2 linked regions of the Astyanax mexicanus genome follow. The protein of the gene in region 1 purifies or fractionates together with the protein of each later gene. This does not show direct contact. Links are inferred from orthologs where the notes say so. Each region holds a gene or a part of one and is shown on either strand. Other genes may lie near its edges.

What was found.
Region 2: the proteins of sdhaf1 (region 1) and sdhb purify together in Homo sapiens (co-immunoprecipitation; 3 studies listed by BioGRID and IntAct, with this or other methods). This does not show direct contact. The link is inferred for Astyanax mexicanus from reciprocal best matches to the Homo sapiens genes SDHAF1 and SDHB.

The regions. Positions count from the first base shown.
Region 1 is NC_064424.1:5,385,944-5,392,368, reverse strand, and holds sdhaf1 (succinate dehydrogenase assembly factor 1, mitochondrial), read right to left. Parts: upstream 2,392-6,425; 5' UTR 2,236-2,391; intron 1,254-2,235; 5' UTR 1,222-1,253; coding exon 973-1,221; 3' UTR 599-972; downstream 1-598.
Region 2 is NC_064431.1:31,484,004-31,491,750, forward strand, and holds the start of sdhb (succinate dehydrogenase [ubiquinone] iron-sulfur subunit, mitochondrial), read right to left. Parts: upstream 3,015-7,747; 5' UTR 2,974-3,014; coding exon 2,905-2,973; intron 240-2,904; coding exon 100-239; intron 1-99. Other genes in the region: mrpl20 (39S ribosomal protein L20, mitochondrial), read left to right, coding at 4,629-4,715, 6,375-6,485, 7,052-7,129. UniProt on the Homo sapiens protein: Iron-sulfur protein (IP) subunit of the succinate dehydrogenase complex (mitochondrial respiratory chain complex II), responsible for transferring electrons from succinate to ubiquinone (coenzyme Q).

The sequences.
Region 1 (6,425 bases):
ATTTTTTTGGTTAAATAAGTAATTCCATGTTTTTCTTTAATCTACAAAGCAGACAATTTTCAAATAATGAAAAAAAAAAAACATTGAATATAAGGTGTAATTTTGACCTGCATTTCGTCACTGTCCAATGAAAAACAAGCATCTCCAAAACAGCAACAGAATATATTTTTTTAATAGAAGTCAATGTAAAATAAGTTTATTTCAGGTTATTTTTTCCAATTTTTCTTTTGGTCTGTTAATCAAGAAATCTTGACACAATATAAGGGATAGTTTGTCTGTTCAAATTATGTAGTAAACTAAAAATCGACAAAAACAGATATTTTTTTTTTCATTGGACAATGACGATTTATGTATTTGTCATATTTGTCTCCCATTTTATTCCCATTCATTTTGCCTCAACCAAATTCCCAGTGTCCCCTTTATCTGACAGCCACCAAACTACATGTACTCATCTGTTTGTATTTCTTTCATCCCTCGCTCCTTCCATTGAGCTTCACAAACATTCTGTGTTCCCTTCAGGAAATGCACATTTCTGGTTATATTACTGACCTTATAAAAAGCTTGAAGGAGTAGCAAACATAGCCCATAAAACACTGCCTTTTAATAAAAGAGACTTCTTTATTCATTTAAATTTCTTGATGGTCATATGGTCATGCTCCACTGCCAGTGGATACACCAGGTAAACATGTCTGATATTTGCCACTACACAGGATACTCCGTTTGGATGATATTAATAATATAAATAAGGTGGATATGGAAGTGTGATAGTGGGATACAGGGATGATGAAACACCTAGAGCCTAAAAGTAACCACACATAAAATAATTTATGCTCACAAACACACGTTCTTAAAAAGAAAATGTCTCTCATAATTTAAAGACCCATCAACATGATGTTCCATATTTTTAATAATATTTCATCCATCTCCTGGAATACTGTCCGCAGTCTGCATGTCAGATCCAGCAGTCCATCATCAGCTGTCCTCGTTGGATTTGCTGAAGACTCCCAGCTGTTTAGTGTTCACATCTTTGAGCTGTTCTAGCTGCCGCTGACCGCGTCGCAGGAGGTACTCGATGTGCATGATGTCTGTCTTTTTAATAGCAGCATTCGCTCGGAACTCCTCCTGTATCCTCGGGACAAACCCTGGCTTGTCTCGTCCTGCGCGCAGAAACTGACGATACAGCGACAAGACCTGTTTCTGTATCTTACTGTGGCGCGCCATAGCGATTCCTGAGGGAGTGTGGGAAGAGAAACCTGGAGAAAATAGAGACAAATGCAGACAAATATCAAGTGAAACAATAATTTGTGATGTTTAGGTAGAAAATATGAAAACTATTTTATGGTACTGTGAAAAATGTATGTATACATAAACAAAATAATTTCTTAAGCCTATTTAGAGACAATAACCAAACTGTATATTTCATTACACAAAGGCTAACTAGTCCAGTTTAATTGGATGACATGAAGCATATTATGAATAATAAGAAAGTATGGGAGAATTAAGTTGAACTGCTTGAATTTGTGCACCAGGAGTGGCAAAAAGTTATCCAAAAGCAGTGTGTAAGACTGGTGGAGGATAACATGCCAACATGCATGCAAACTAGGAATATTCCACCAAATATTGATTTCTGAACTCTTAAAACTTTATGAATATGAACTTGTTTTATTTGCATTATTTGAGGTCTGAAAGCTCTGCATCTTTTTTATTATTTCAGCCATTTCTCATTTTCTGTAAATAAATGCTCTTAAATGACAATATTTTTATTTGTAACTTGGGAGAAATGTTGTCTGTAGTTTAATGAAAAAACAACAATGTTAATTTTACTCAAAACATAAACCTATAAATAGCAAAATCAGAGAAACTGATTCAGAAACTGAAGTGCTCTTTTATTTTTTTTTTCCAGAGCTGAATACATTATATATACAAATACTCAGACAGTTAGGCTAGCTAACTCAGCTAATAAACTAAGCTAAGCTAACTACTGAAACACCACAGACTATTCTACTTTTATTTATAGCTCTAGGTATTTGAAATTATTTTCTATAATGGAGGTAGTTAGCTAAGAATTACCATGACCGGAGTGAACTAGTTAATTATCTCTAGATAATAATAAAGTAAGAGTTTAGCTAGCTAAGCTAACTAAGTTAAATACCTACCTTGGTAGCTAACTAGCTTATTTAAAGTAAAATCACAGAGCTGTATTATCTCTCCATAAGCAGCAGTACTGTATCTTACCTGCTGTGTCTCAGTCCTGCGGATATTTCGTGTTAGTGACAGCAGAAAACTTTAATTTGTATAAAAATCATCTTATTAATTTCTACAGTCCCACTCCTCTGTTTTGACCTTATGCTGTTTTCTTCGTTGTGTCTCTGCAGCACCGGTTCTCTACAACACCGCCCACTAGTGGCTGAACCCTGCAGCGCCTCTAATTATTACACAACATTAACTTTTTTTACACATTTATATAGTCCAATCCTTTAGTGGAGGCATCAATAAACATATTCTAAAATCTTCCTTAATAATTAAGGAACTTATCAACACGATGTTTAATATCAACATTTATTTACTATTTGCTTTTTATTTACTGTTGACCTGTACAGTATCACTGGTCACTGCACTGCTTTGGACACACCTCTTTTCTTTCTGTGTTTTCTTTCTTTTTATGATTTTTTTACATTGTAAATGTAATATTGAAGACTATATTACAGCTACAGTGGTATGGAAAAGTTTAGAAACCCCTGATCATTTTCCTGATTTTCCTTTATAAATCATTGGTTGTTCAGATCAGCACTTTCAGTTAAATATATCATATAACAGAAAAACACAGTGATGTTTGAGAAGTGAAATTTTTATAGGATTAAATTTTTATAGTTTATAGGATTTACAGAAAGTTTGCAATAATTCTTTAAACTAAATTTGGACTCCCTTGTTGTTTTATTGATTGGCATATCTTTAGCACTAATTATTGGAGCACAAAATGTGATTGTAAGCTCATTGACCCTTGACCTACATTCACAGGTGAATCCAGTTATGAGAAAGGGTTAAGGTGGCCAATGGCAGGTTTTTCTCCTCTTGAAAAACTCTTAATGAATATGAACCTGTTTTCTTTGCAATATTTGAAGTCTGAAATCATCTTATTTATTATTTCAGACATTTCTCATTTTATGCAAATAAATGCTCTAAATGACAATAATTTATTTGGAATGTGGGAGAAATGTTGCCTGTAGTTTATAGAATAAAACAACAATGTTTGTTTTACTCAAACATAAACCTATAAATAGCAAAATCAGAGAAACTGATAATCTCTTAATTTTCATATATATATATATATATAAAGACAAAATTACCAACTCTCTAAAAAGAGCAGTAATTCCCATCACTACTGTACACAAAATATTTTTTACAGGTTTTACAGAAAGGAGGCAAAGAATATATGCAAAAAATATATGATTTTGTGGTTGATCATAAAAGACAAAGACAGACTGCAAAAAGGAAACATTTTCTTTTATTAAGAAAATATTTTCTACATCATCCTGTGCAAACTGAGTTAATCTACTGAGTTAATTTTATAGCCTACAATTTTGAGATGTGAGACTGAACCCGGCCTGCTGGAGTGCAATACTGCGAAAGTGCAATACATACCATATATTAAATATATTGTATTTGAACCAGCAGGCTGATGGAGACGGACGTTCTCTGAAGAACAGCCCTGTTTTCTGCAGATACAGGTTGATTCTGGTTAAAGTGTGCCGGTATTTCACTGCATGGAAATACTCAAAGATAGCATTGAGTTCACAGCCATTCCTGAGCTCTGGGACATCTATATTGCATATCATATACATGTATGTTGATCATTATTGCACTATAATTGATTAGATTACTGTAAACACCCTAGAAATGGTAATGGTAAATGATAATGGTACATCATACAGTACATTTTTCTTTCAAACAAACCAAACACAAACATTTGGTCACAATTTCCTATTAATTCAGTATAGAGCAAGACCTCAAGACCTGCTGTAGTACATTAGTTATATTTGCATTACTGGTTACCCTATACATTACACTACCCTGCTCACAGTATATCATTTATTAATAAAGGCACCTTTTATATATTTCTGTATGGGAAGGATGAGGCTTGCTGAACTTTGGCTGAAGCGAATAAATGCTTCAGCGCACAGGTAGACTACCATACAGCAGTTTCAAAGAGGCAGCTTGAGCTTATATTACATAAAACAGAAGTTTCTAAGGAAAATAACTTAGACTGGGGCTAACCTCAAGCGGACGGTGAGCCCCCTGACTGAGGGGAACACAACCCCTGCACTTCACATCATGCTTCTCCCATTGGCTCAAAGGCCTCCAACCTGTAGCTGCTAAGCACATTCAGCTTGTGCCATGTGGAATTACAGCTGATTCAGCAAAATTCAGTATTTAATATTTTCCAGCTTTCAAAATCTGGTTTACTATATGTTTCAAGCAAATACACATAAAAAACATCGTGATACAGCTTAATACATTCTGACAGGTGTGCTGTTCTCAAGCTGAATCAGCATTTATGAGCATATAATTCGTACATACATTCAGGTATGATTTTGTTTTTTGGCCCACATGCTATATATTGATTAATATCGGACTTATTGTTTGCTGAATAAAGAATAAAGGAAAAAACAGAAGCCTTGAAAGAAATGATTACCAATCACTCCCAGCATGCTATCAGGTGATATGCTGAGCTGGAAAAAATACAGTATGTAAATACTAGATAAATTAAAGAAATCGAATTAAAACATTTATATAATGGAATGGAACCCAAACTAAATATGGAATAAATATAGTTATGGTTGACTGAGTGCTTACTTGAGGTTTAAAAAAAAGAGCCTAACCGGTAAAGGCTGGAAGACCCTAAATTATGTATTTTCATTGTGCCACAATAGGTCATGTCTAATTTAACATTTACATCCATTTTAATAAGGGGAATGCCACCAATTTTTCAGATTAATTAGCAGGGAGGTATATGTATATTTAGTAGTGTTGGAATTTCTTGATTTGTATGATGAAGAAAATATAAAAATAAAGGATTAATTGCACAGAGTTAATACAGTCTGCCTCCCAAAATACACAAATAGAGGGAAGTACCAGAGTTAACATATTTTATGCATGATTTTAATCATTAATTATCACATAATATTGCTGTGATTAATACAATATGTTTGGCCCCACTACTACAAATATAATTATTCCACTTTGACAATCTAAGATTATTTTATTTACATTTAAATATCAGCTATTATACCACAGTTAGTTCTGACTCTGCAATGTGATTGGTAGCTGACAGTAGCTGCATGCCAATTGCATACTACAGGCTAATGCTATATAGTCTTTTTAATAGTGTGAAAATATTAATGTACAAACCTCTAAACTAAGGTGGCCAAGAAAGGCACACAAAGCAGACAAAAGGTGTGTCCCAATTCAGGGGCTGCATCCTTCGAAGGATTAATTTGAAGGCGATTACGTCACTGCGGTGCGACTAGGCTGTCCCATTTCGAAGACTCCTTCGAATGCAGCCGACGAATGCAGCCTTCTTTTCCTCGGAAACGAAGGATGCACCGGGTGTATCCTTCACAGCCTACAGTATCCCAAGATTCATTGCATGCCGACTTATTTCAGCACGAAAAGGCGGAGTCAGCAGAGGAGTCAACTGTATTATGTAGTATTATGTAGTTTATAGATATATAAATACTTATAGATATTATAAATTATATAATTTATATATATATATATATATGTGTGTGTGTGTATGTATTAATGTATTATTTAGTTTATTTATAAGTATATTTCTTTTTATATAGTATTTATATATCTTTAAACGACATAATACATAATAAATATATAATATATAATACAATATATATAAACTAAATAATACATTATTCTATTTTATTCTCTTTTTTCAACTTCATTTCAAGCGCCCTTTTATTTGTTTATGTTCAGTTCCATCCGTTCACATTTAAAACATTTAAGTAACTGCACAGTTTATTAACCTGGACTTAATTAATTGGGTATTTTTTGGTCTGAAGCAAAACTAGAATCAAAATCTCTGGCTCATTTCTCAGCTCTGACTTTGGTTGTGGCGGGTAGAATCTCAAACAGGAAACAGGAAATACTCCGTAGGGTAGACTGTCCCATTTCAGTACTGCCATCGCAGCCTACCCATCCTTCTAAGGACACACCTTCGTAGACCGCGTCCTTCGAAGAATGCAGCCCCTGAATTGGGACACACTGTACATTAAGAAAACGCAGCATTTCAGAAAACATTGCCCTCTAGCGGCCAGGAGCATTTCCGGTGAGGCAATGTATTTGCGTTCCCTTAATGAAGCGTTTCTGAAATGTAGTTGCGTTGTCATATTTTTGTTTGCTTTGTAAATGTT
Region 2 (7,747 bases), on another chromosome or scaffold:
ATCGGATCGGGACTCCATATTGGCAGATACTTAAAATCAAATGATTCGAAAAATGTAATCAAGACAACTCTACACAACAGGATGAGGATCAGCACTCACGCGTTGAGGTCGACCTCGTAGGTCTGCATGCGGGGTTTGTCTCCGGGTGTGTCCGGGTCCCAGCGGTAAATCTGGAACTTCTTAATCCGCGGCTGAACCGCCGGAGCCGCAGCTGCAGCGGTCTGGACATACCGCAAAGCCTGAGAGAGAACCCAGAAAATAAACAAAGGTAAAATAAACAAGGAGCATTTACAGCACGACAGAACCAGATTCTCCTAAACACTAACAGCTCTCATCTGTGCAGAGAGAGAGGAGAAAACACACAGGATACCGTTCAGATCAACAACGGGGATTTAATACAACAAAACATCACAAACAACAGGGGAAATATGAGATCTGGATCTCATAACTTAATTACGGTACTGTGGGACATATGAGCCAAACAGAGACTGTGATAGCGAGCAGTGGATCCCTGAAGTTGTGTTTCCTTCTAGAGATGATATTAGGCCCCCAAAAAAAGGGAAAGGGCGATATGGCCCTAAAATAATATCGCTAAAATAATCTAATAATACTTTATGGTATTTCCGCGATTACAATACTCTTGGCGATGTGACAAAACACAAAATTAAAAATATATATTTCAAGAATACACTACTGCATGAAAATGAAAATTTAATTTTATTATTGCATTTAATTTGATAATATATATATATATATATATAATATAATAATCATGCACTCCAAATATCTCAATATATCCAGGATTAAAGTAAAATAAACAGATACTAAACAGATATAATCTGTCTCTAGTAGATATATAATGGGAAATGAGAACAGTGTGAATTTTTCTTTTGCTAAAAACAGTAAAAAGGTAGTACCCTGTGATAATTAGGGGTGGTTAATACGGTACGATATTTCAAGGTATAATCTCCAATTGTTCACGATATTCAAAAATGTTTGCGATATTATTGTGTACGATACGATATGACACACCCATCTCTGATTCTACGTTTCCCCAAGAAGCTGTAATATGAATGATGCTGAATCAGCACATTTTAAATTGGCCCGCCATAACATCATAAATACATATATATTTTTTTAACGATATATTGTCCTAGAAATTACTGTGTAAAGTAATGTAATTATATATATATATATATATATATATATATATATATATATATATATATATATATATATATATATATATATATAGTGCACAGTTTGGAGATTTACCTGATCAAGCAACTCTAATAAACTCACCTGTTGGAGCAGGAGATCAGCACACTGATCTGGACTCCGGCCCTCATTACAACACCCCCTATTGTAAACCCATATAACTCTTAAGTAGGGCTGTGTATTGGGTAGAACTTGGCGACGTGATACTTATCACTATAGAGGGGTTTTGATTTAATACATCAAAACATATTGTTGATGTTGTAATCAAGGTGTTACACTGCTTAAAAACTGTATTAAAAAAACAAATCTATACAAATTTGAGTATACAAATTGCCCCCTAGGTGTGAGTGTGCGAGTGCATGTGTCTGTTTGTCTGTCTGTGTCTGTCTGCCCTGCGATGGATTGGCGGCCTGTCCAGGGTGTATCCTGCCTTCTGCCCGATGCCTGCTGGGATAGGCTCCAGCACCCCCCCGCGACCCTTAATGGATAAAGCGGTTGATAATGACTTGACTTGACTTGACAAATCTGAGTAAATCTGTCTGAATGGCATTTAAAATTCTTATACAGCTCTTGAAAGAAAATAAGAGACCACTTAAAAATGACAAGTTTCTTTGATTTTACCAAATTTAAAACCTCTGGAATATAATTAAGAGGAAGATGGATGATCACAAGCCATCAAACCAAACTGGACTGCTTAAATTTTGCACCAGGGATAAAGCAGCATAAAGTTATCCAAAAGCAGTGTGTAAGACTGGTGGAGGAGAACATGGGGTTCCACCATAAACATGAACTTGTTTTCTTTGCATTATTTGAGGTCTCAAAGCTCTGCATCTTTTTTTTGTTATTTCAGCCATCTCTCATTTTCTGCAAATAAATGACGTAAAAAACAATATGTTTTATTTGGAATTTGGGAGAAATGTTGTCATAGTTTATGTAATAAAACAATGTTAATTTTACTCAAACATAAACCTACAAAAAGCAAAATCAGAAAACTGTTTTTTCCAGAGCTGTATGTATATAAAATTATTAAATAAAAGCTGAAACTTCACTAAGCTTCAGCTGGGAGGTTTAGGAAATGAATAAGGGTGATGTTTACTTGTTCCTCCAGCTGTCACTCTACACCACAGTGTAGCTAACTAGTTACATAGCACACAGGTTTCATAACTGTACAGCTTTCATAACTGTACACTAAGCTATCACTATATGTGTGTGTTTAATTAATTTAACTGGCCAAAGAAAGGCTTAATAAGTTACAGCACATGTTTGTTGTCAGTAATTAAAGCTAGATAATATTATTAGCTCTAAAACTATGTAGTTACTGTTTAAAGGTCAGAGGTTCAGCAGCTAGCTAGCTGTTACAGCTAAAATACAAATTAGCTAGGATAACACTAGCTAGCAAACACCCAAAGAGCAGCTCAGTTACACATCCAGCTACAAATAAAAAAGCTGAACTGTCCCCTAAAACTTTTATCTGGTTGACTAACTAACTTAACAGTAGCTAAGCTAATTGTTAGCTGTTAGCATAAGTCAGTAGCTACCTATAAGTGACCTGGCTACGCTGAGCTATGCTAAGCTAACGGGCTAACCGGCTCAATAACACATATAAAAGCCAGAACCTCGCGGTTTTAAGTTGTCTATATTATAAGTTTATGCCGGTAACTGACCGGCGGTGTGTGTAAATCTTACCAGCAGGCCGGAGGAAGAGCGGAGAGCCGCAGCGCCCTGCCGAGCCGAGCACACACACAGCGCCGCCATCGCTACTGTTACAGAACACTGTCCTCCACCGGCCCGTCAGCCCCTGCGCTGCCCCTGACACCATCACCGCACCGCCGCCACCCCGAGGCCACGTGTGGTAGTTACCAGTCAAAACTTTGGAAACACCTTAAATTCAGTGTTTTGCATTATTTAAAAAAATGCATTTTAGATTAATACTAAACTCACCAAAAACTACGAAGAAAATCATATGAAATTATTTAGCAAATAAAAAAGTGTTTACCAGCTAAATACCAGAATGTGTTTTTTTATTTTTTATTCTTCAACATTCTCCAGATTCGTCACCTGAAAATTCACGCTTTCAGTTAACAGCTGTGCTGAACTCGTCAAGAGTTAATTACTTGAATTTCTTGTCTCTTAATAAAGTGTTTGAGAGCATCAATTAAAGTAAAGTCGTGAAGAGGTAGAGTTACAGGTATACAGTGAATAGTGAATATTTGAGTAATGTACTAATCCAGATTATGAGAAGCAACAACTACTCAACTAAATAAAGAAAAAATACTTTAAGAAGGTCATTCAATCTAAAAAAAAAAAAAATCAAGAACTTTGAAAGTATCCTTAAGTGCAGTCGCTATTACAAAAAAAAAAATACATTTAAAAAAACGCCATGACGAAACTGGCACTCATCAGGACCGGCCAATGAGAGGAAGAGGAAGAGTTTATCAGAGTTACTAGCTTCAGAAACCACAAGTTAATATCTCCCCAGAATTTTTTTATTATTTGGTAAACAATACTATCCAACAGCCTAAAATAGAAAGAATAGGTCAAATTCACATGATATACAACCAGCATATCGAAACAAAAACAGAAAGAAACAAACAAACCTAAACAAAAAAAACAAACAAACAGAAAAAGAAAAGTAGGATTCAAATAAAACTGAAAAGCTTCAAAATATGCATGGATTTATTTATTTATTTATTTTTAATTTGTCGAAAATATGTCAATGAGTGTGTATAATTATTTACATCTTATTAGAAATAATGGCATCTTTTTAGCAAATTTAGTTTTGAGTATGTATATATATATAAATATATATGTATGCATATGTGTATATATAATGTGTATATATAAATATACCTAATTAAATTTACTACAATTTTTTCCTTGTGGTCAAACCAAAAATATACAATATATATCGGACTTTGAGAGGAATTTCCTTACCCAATCTCCTCTTTAAGTCTAAAAAAATCAATCCATAAAGAGCAAGAAAAACATAATTTAAAAAAAGGATTTAATTGAGTCTGTGGCTCCTTTACAAAAAACACATGCATCACTTATATGCATGTTTTTTTTTTTTTTACACAAAATAGTATTAACTGGGTTGCGTCTATCCAAGACTTTATATAGCAGTTCTTTTATTTTGTTATTGATAACATATTTGGCACAGGATACGTTTATCTTAATAATAATATTTTATATATTGTTCTTATCGTACTTTATTATTCTTATTTATTATTATATATTTTTTGTTAATTATATTTTAATTAAAAATGTAGATGGTAAATAAATGACCTTGACGGGACTTTTACTGAATAGCGCATGCGCAGTGCGCAGTGGCTCCGGAACAGCAGTCACGCTGCTGTATTGGAGATTAAGGTCAGAGTCACGGCGCGTGTTTCTGATACAGATAGATCATCATGGTGTTTCTGACTTTACCCTGCTGGATCAGGAGCCGAGGACCCGACCGCTACTGGAAGGTGCAGGAGCTGCTGAAGAATGCGCGGGTAAAGAGGAGCTTTTTACCTTTAGAATTTACCTTCAGCTTCACCTTTATATCCAGCCAGCCTCCAGTGCTAATGCTCTGAATCTGAACACACCTGATCCAGACTATGAAGAAACACATAAAAAAAAATCATGTAGTAACTTAATAAAACAGTTAAACAAACCAAAATACTTAAAATAGGCCGGAAATTCTGATAAACTTATCCTATGCAACACAGGGAACTCTTGTCCTTCCTTTTTTGGACTGGTCCTGATGAGTGCCAGTTCTATCATCTGCGCACCTTCTCCGCTTTTAGACTCTTTGGCCCGTTTTTCTGCGCTAGAAATGTGCATCCTCTCCGCTTTTAGACTCTTTGGCCGTTTTTTTGCGCTAAAAATGCGAATTCTCTCCGCTTTTACACTTTTTGGCCATTTTTTTCTGCGCTAGAAATGCACACTCTCTCCGCTTTTAGACTCTTTGGCCCGTTTTTCTGCGCTAGAAATGCGCACCCTCTCCGCTTTTAGACTCTATGGCCCGTTTCTGACACCTAGCGTTCAAACTTTGAATCTCACATTATAAAAACCTGCTTAACAGTATAGGAATATAGTATAGGAGTATAACAGTATCATCATAATGTGGCAAAATAAATAATATAGCATAAAATAATATAATGCAGCAAATAATATTGCAGAATATTTAGTGCATGCATATAAACTGCAAACTAAAACAATTATACAATAAATACACCTAAAGCTTCACAGTAAATAATAGACTACTTTTAAGACAGAACAGCCCTATTATCACAATATGGATTTTTTATGTCATGATATTTCTGTGTCACGATGTATTGTATACAATCTAATATTGCCCACCCCTACTGTATACCAACTCTACCTCTTTAAAACATTAAAACTGATGCTCTCAGAGGCTTAAGAGGCAAGAAATATAAGTAATTAACTCTTGACGAGTTCAGCACAGCTGTTAACTGAAAGCCTGAATGTCTTCTAAGCAAGAGGTGCTACTTTGTTTGAAGAATGTAAAATATATAAAGCATATTCTGGTTTGTGTAACACTCTAAATGTGTTTCTTCATAGTTTAGATGAGTTTAGTATTAATCTACAAAGCCAAACTTTCTAAAATAATGAAAACCACTGAATTTAAGGTGTCCAAACTTTTGACTGGTACTGTAAGTTGATTTGGTTGTATTGGTTCAGAGAACAATAGAGTGTAACACACTCCAGCTCCTATACTGATACGCTGACTTGAATCTAAGAGAGCTAGTTAATTGGGATGCTGCGGCAAAATACTTCATAATTATTTACTGCAGTATGAGATTGCGTTAATGTGTATACATGCACATAAACTGTGATATCATAAATAGGAGCATAAATATACAAACACATAGAGCTTGTCTCCAGCATTCATTGTGTCTTAATCAATATTCTAAGTGAAATATAGCCTTAAAACTTTGATTCATGCTGGAAAACCCTCTAGTAAAGCTACAATAAAGAAAGACAGAAACTAGGAAATATATATATATATATATATATATATATATATATATATATATATATATATATATATATATATATATATTTCACAGCACTGCATCATAGTATCAGTGTTGGAGCAGGTAAAGGTGGTATCATCTGTTGTAATTATGTGTTATTTAATGTTGCAGCACTTCAGGGGCAGAAAGAACCGCTGCTATAAGCTGGCGGTGCGAACCGTCTGCAGGGCCTTCGTCTACGCAACCAAGGCCAGGAAGGTCAAACGACGCAGCATGAGAACGGTGAGACAATAAAACCAGACACAATTTGTGCTTTTGTTTTTAATGTTTTTTTTTTTTTTTTTTTTAAACACAGTTCCTTTCACAAATCCTATACTGCTCTACCACATATCCCACAAAGTCGTTTAGATCCTTGTGGTTGTCGTTTTTATTGAATGCATTTTCTCTCACATTTAAGTCACCATTAGGTTTAATTTTAGTAAAACTTCACAGTTCTTCTTACTCATAGCAAAAAACGCTTGACAGCTAGTTTGGCAAAGTTGCTATAAAATATATTACAAAGCTACTATAATTGTATTATTATTATTAGTAGTAGTAGTAGTAGTGGTAGTAATAGTAGTATACATTTCTAAATATTTCATATGTTATTATTTTTGCTAATGATTTATGTTGTTCTATAAAATTTAGAGAATTGTGTTTATGCAGATTCAGATTTATTTACACTTTCTGCCCCTTTTCGAGACTTAAAGTATTGTAGTATTGAATTAAAGTATCGTTGATATTGAATTGTTTTTTTTTTTTACATATTATAATCTGTTCTGTTTATCTGCTCTGTTTTGCTGCTGTAGTTGTGGATATCTCGTATCGCTGCAGCTTCTCGTGAGCATGGACTGAAATACCCAGCGTTAATACATAACCTTGTAAAAGTGAGTATATTAACCTCTGGTTTGACTGATTTTTGACACTGGCAGAAAATACCATGTACTCTATTTTGAACTGCTGCTGATTTAGCATTGCAGAGTAGCATCACAGCGCTAACGCTCAGAGGAAAGCTCAACGACTCGGTTCTGATACATCAGCTCACAGACGCAGCTTTGTGTTGATCCACATCACCCTAGGAGTGATGAGGGGAAAGAAGAGTGCCATCTACTGTACCCACCCAGAGAGAGCAAGGACAATTGTGATCTCTCTCTCTCTCTCTCGGGGCTCCGGCAGCTGATGGCTGGCGAAAAACACTCCTTGTAACTTTAGAATAAGTGGGCGTGGCTAAAATGCTGTAAAACGTTTTATATACAAACACATACAACTCTGTATATAGGTCCACATATCAGTTATTTACTAATATATTTGATATTAAAGACCTGTACCTAAAGTATAACCCTGTGGGACTCCACAAAATAATTAACTAAATAATTCATATTAGTTCCTACATTATGATTAGTAAATCTGGGGTTTAAAAGCCGTTAGATTGCGATCCACAAAAAAAAAAAACTTTTTGGGGAAATGGAGTGTAATGGGATGGAGTGCTGCTACAGACTAGTAGC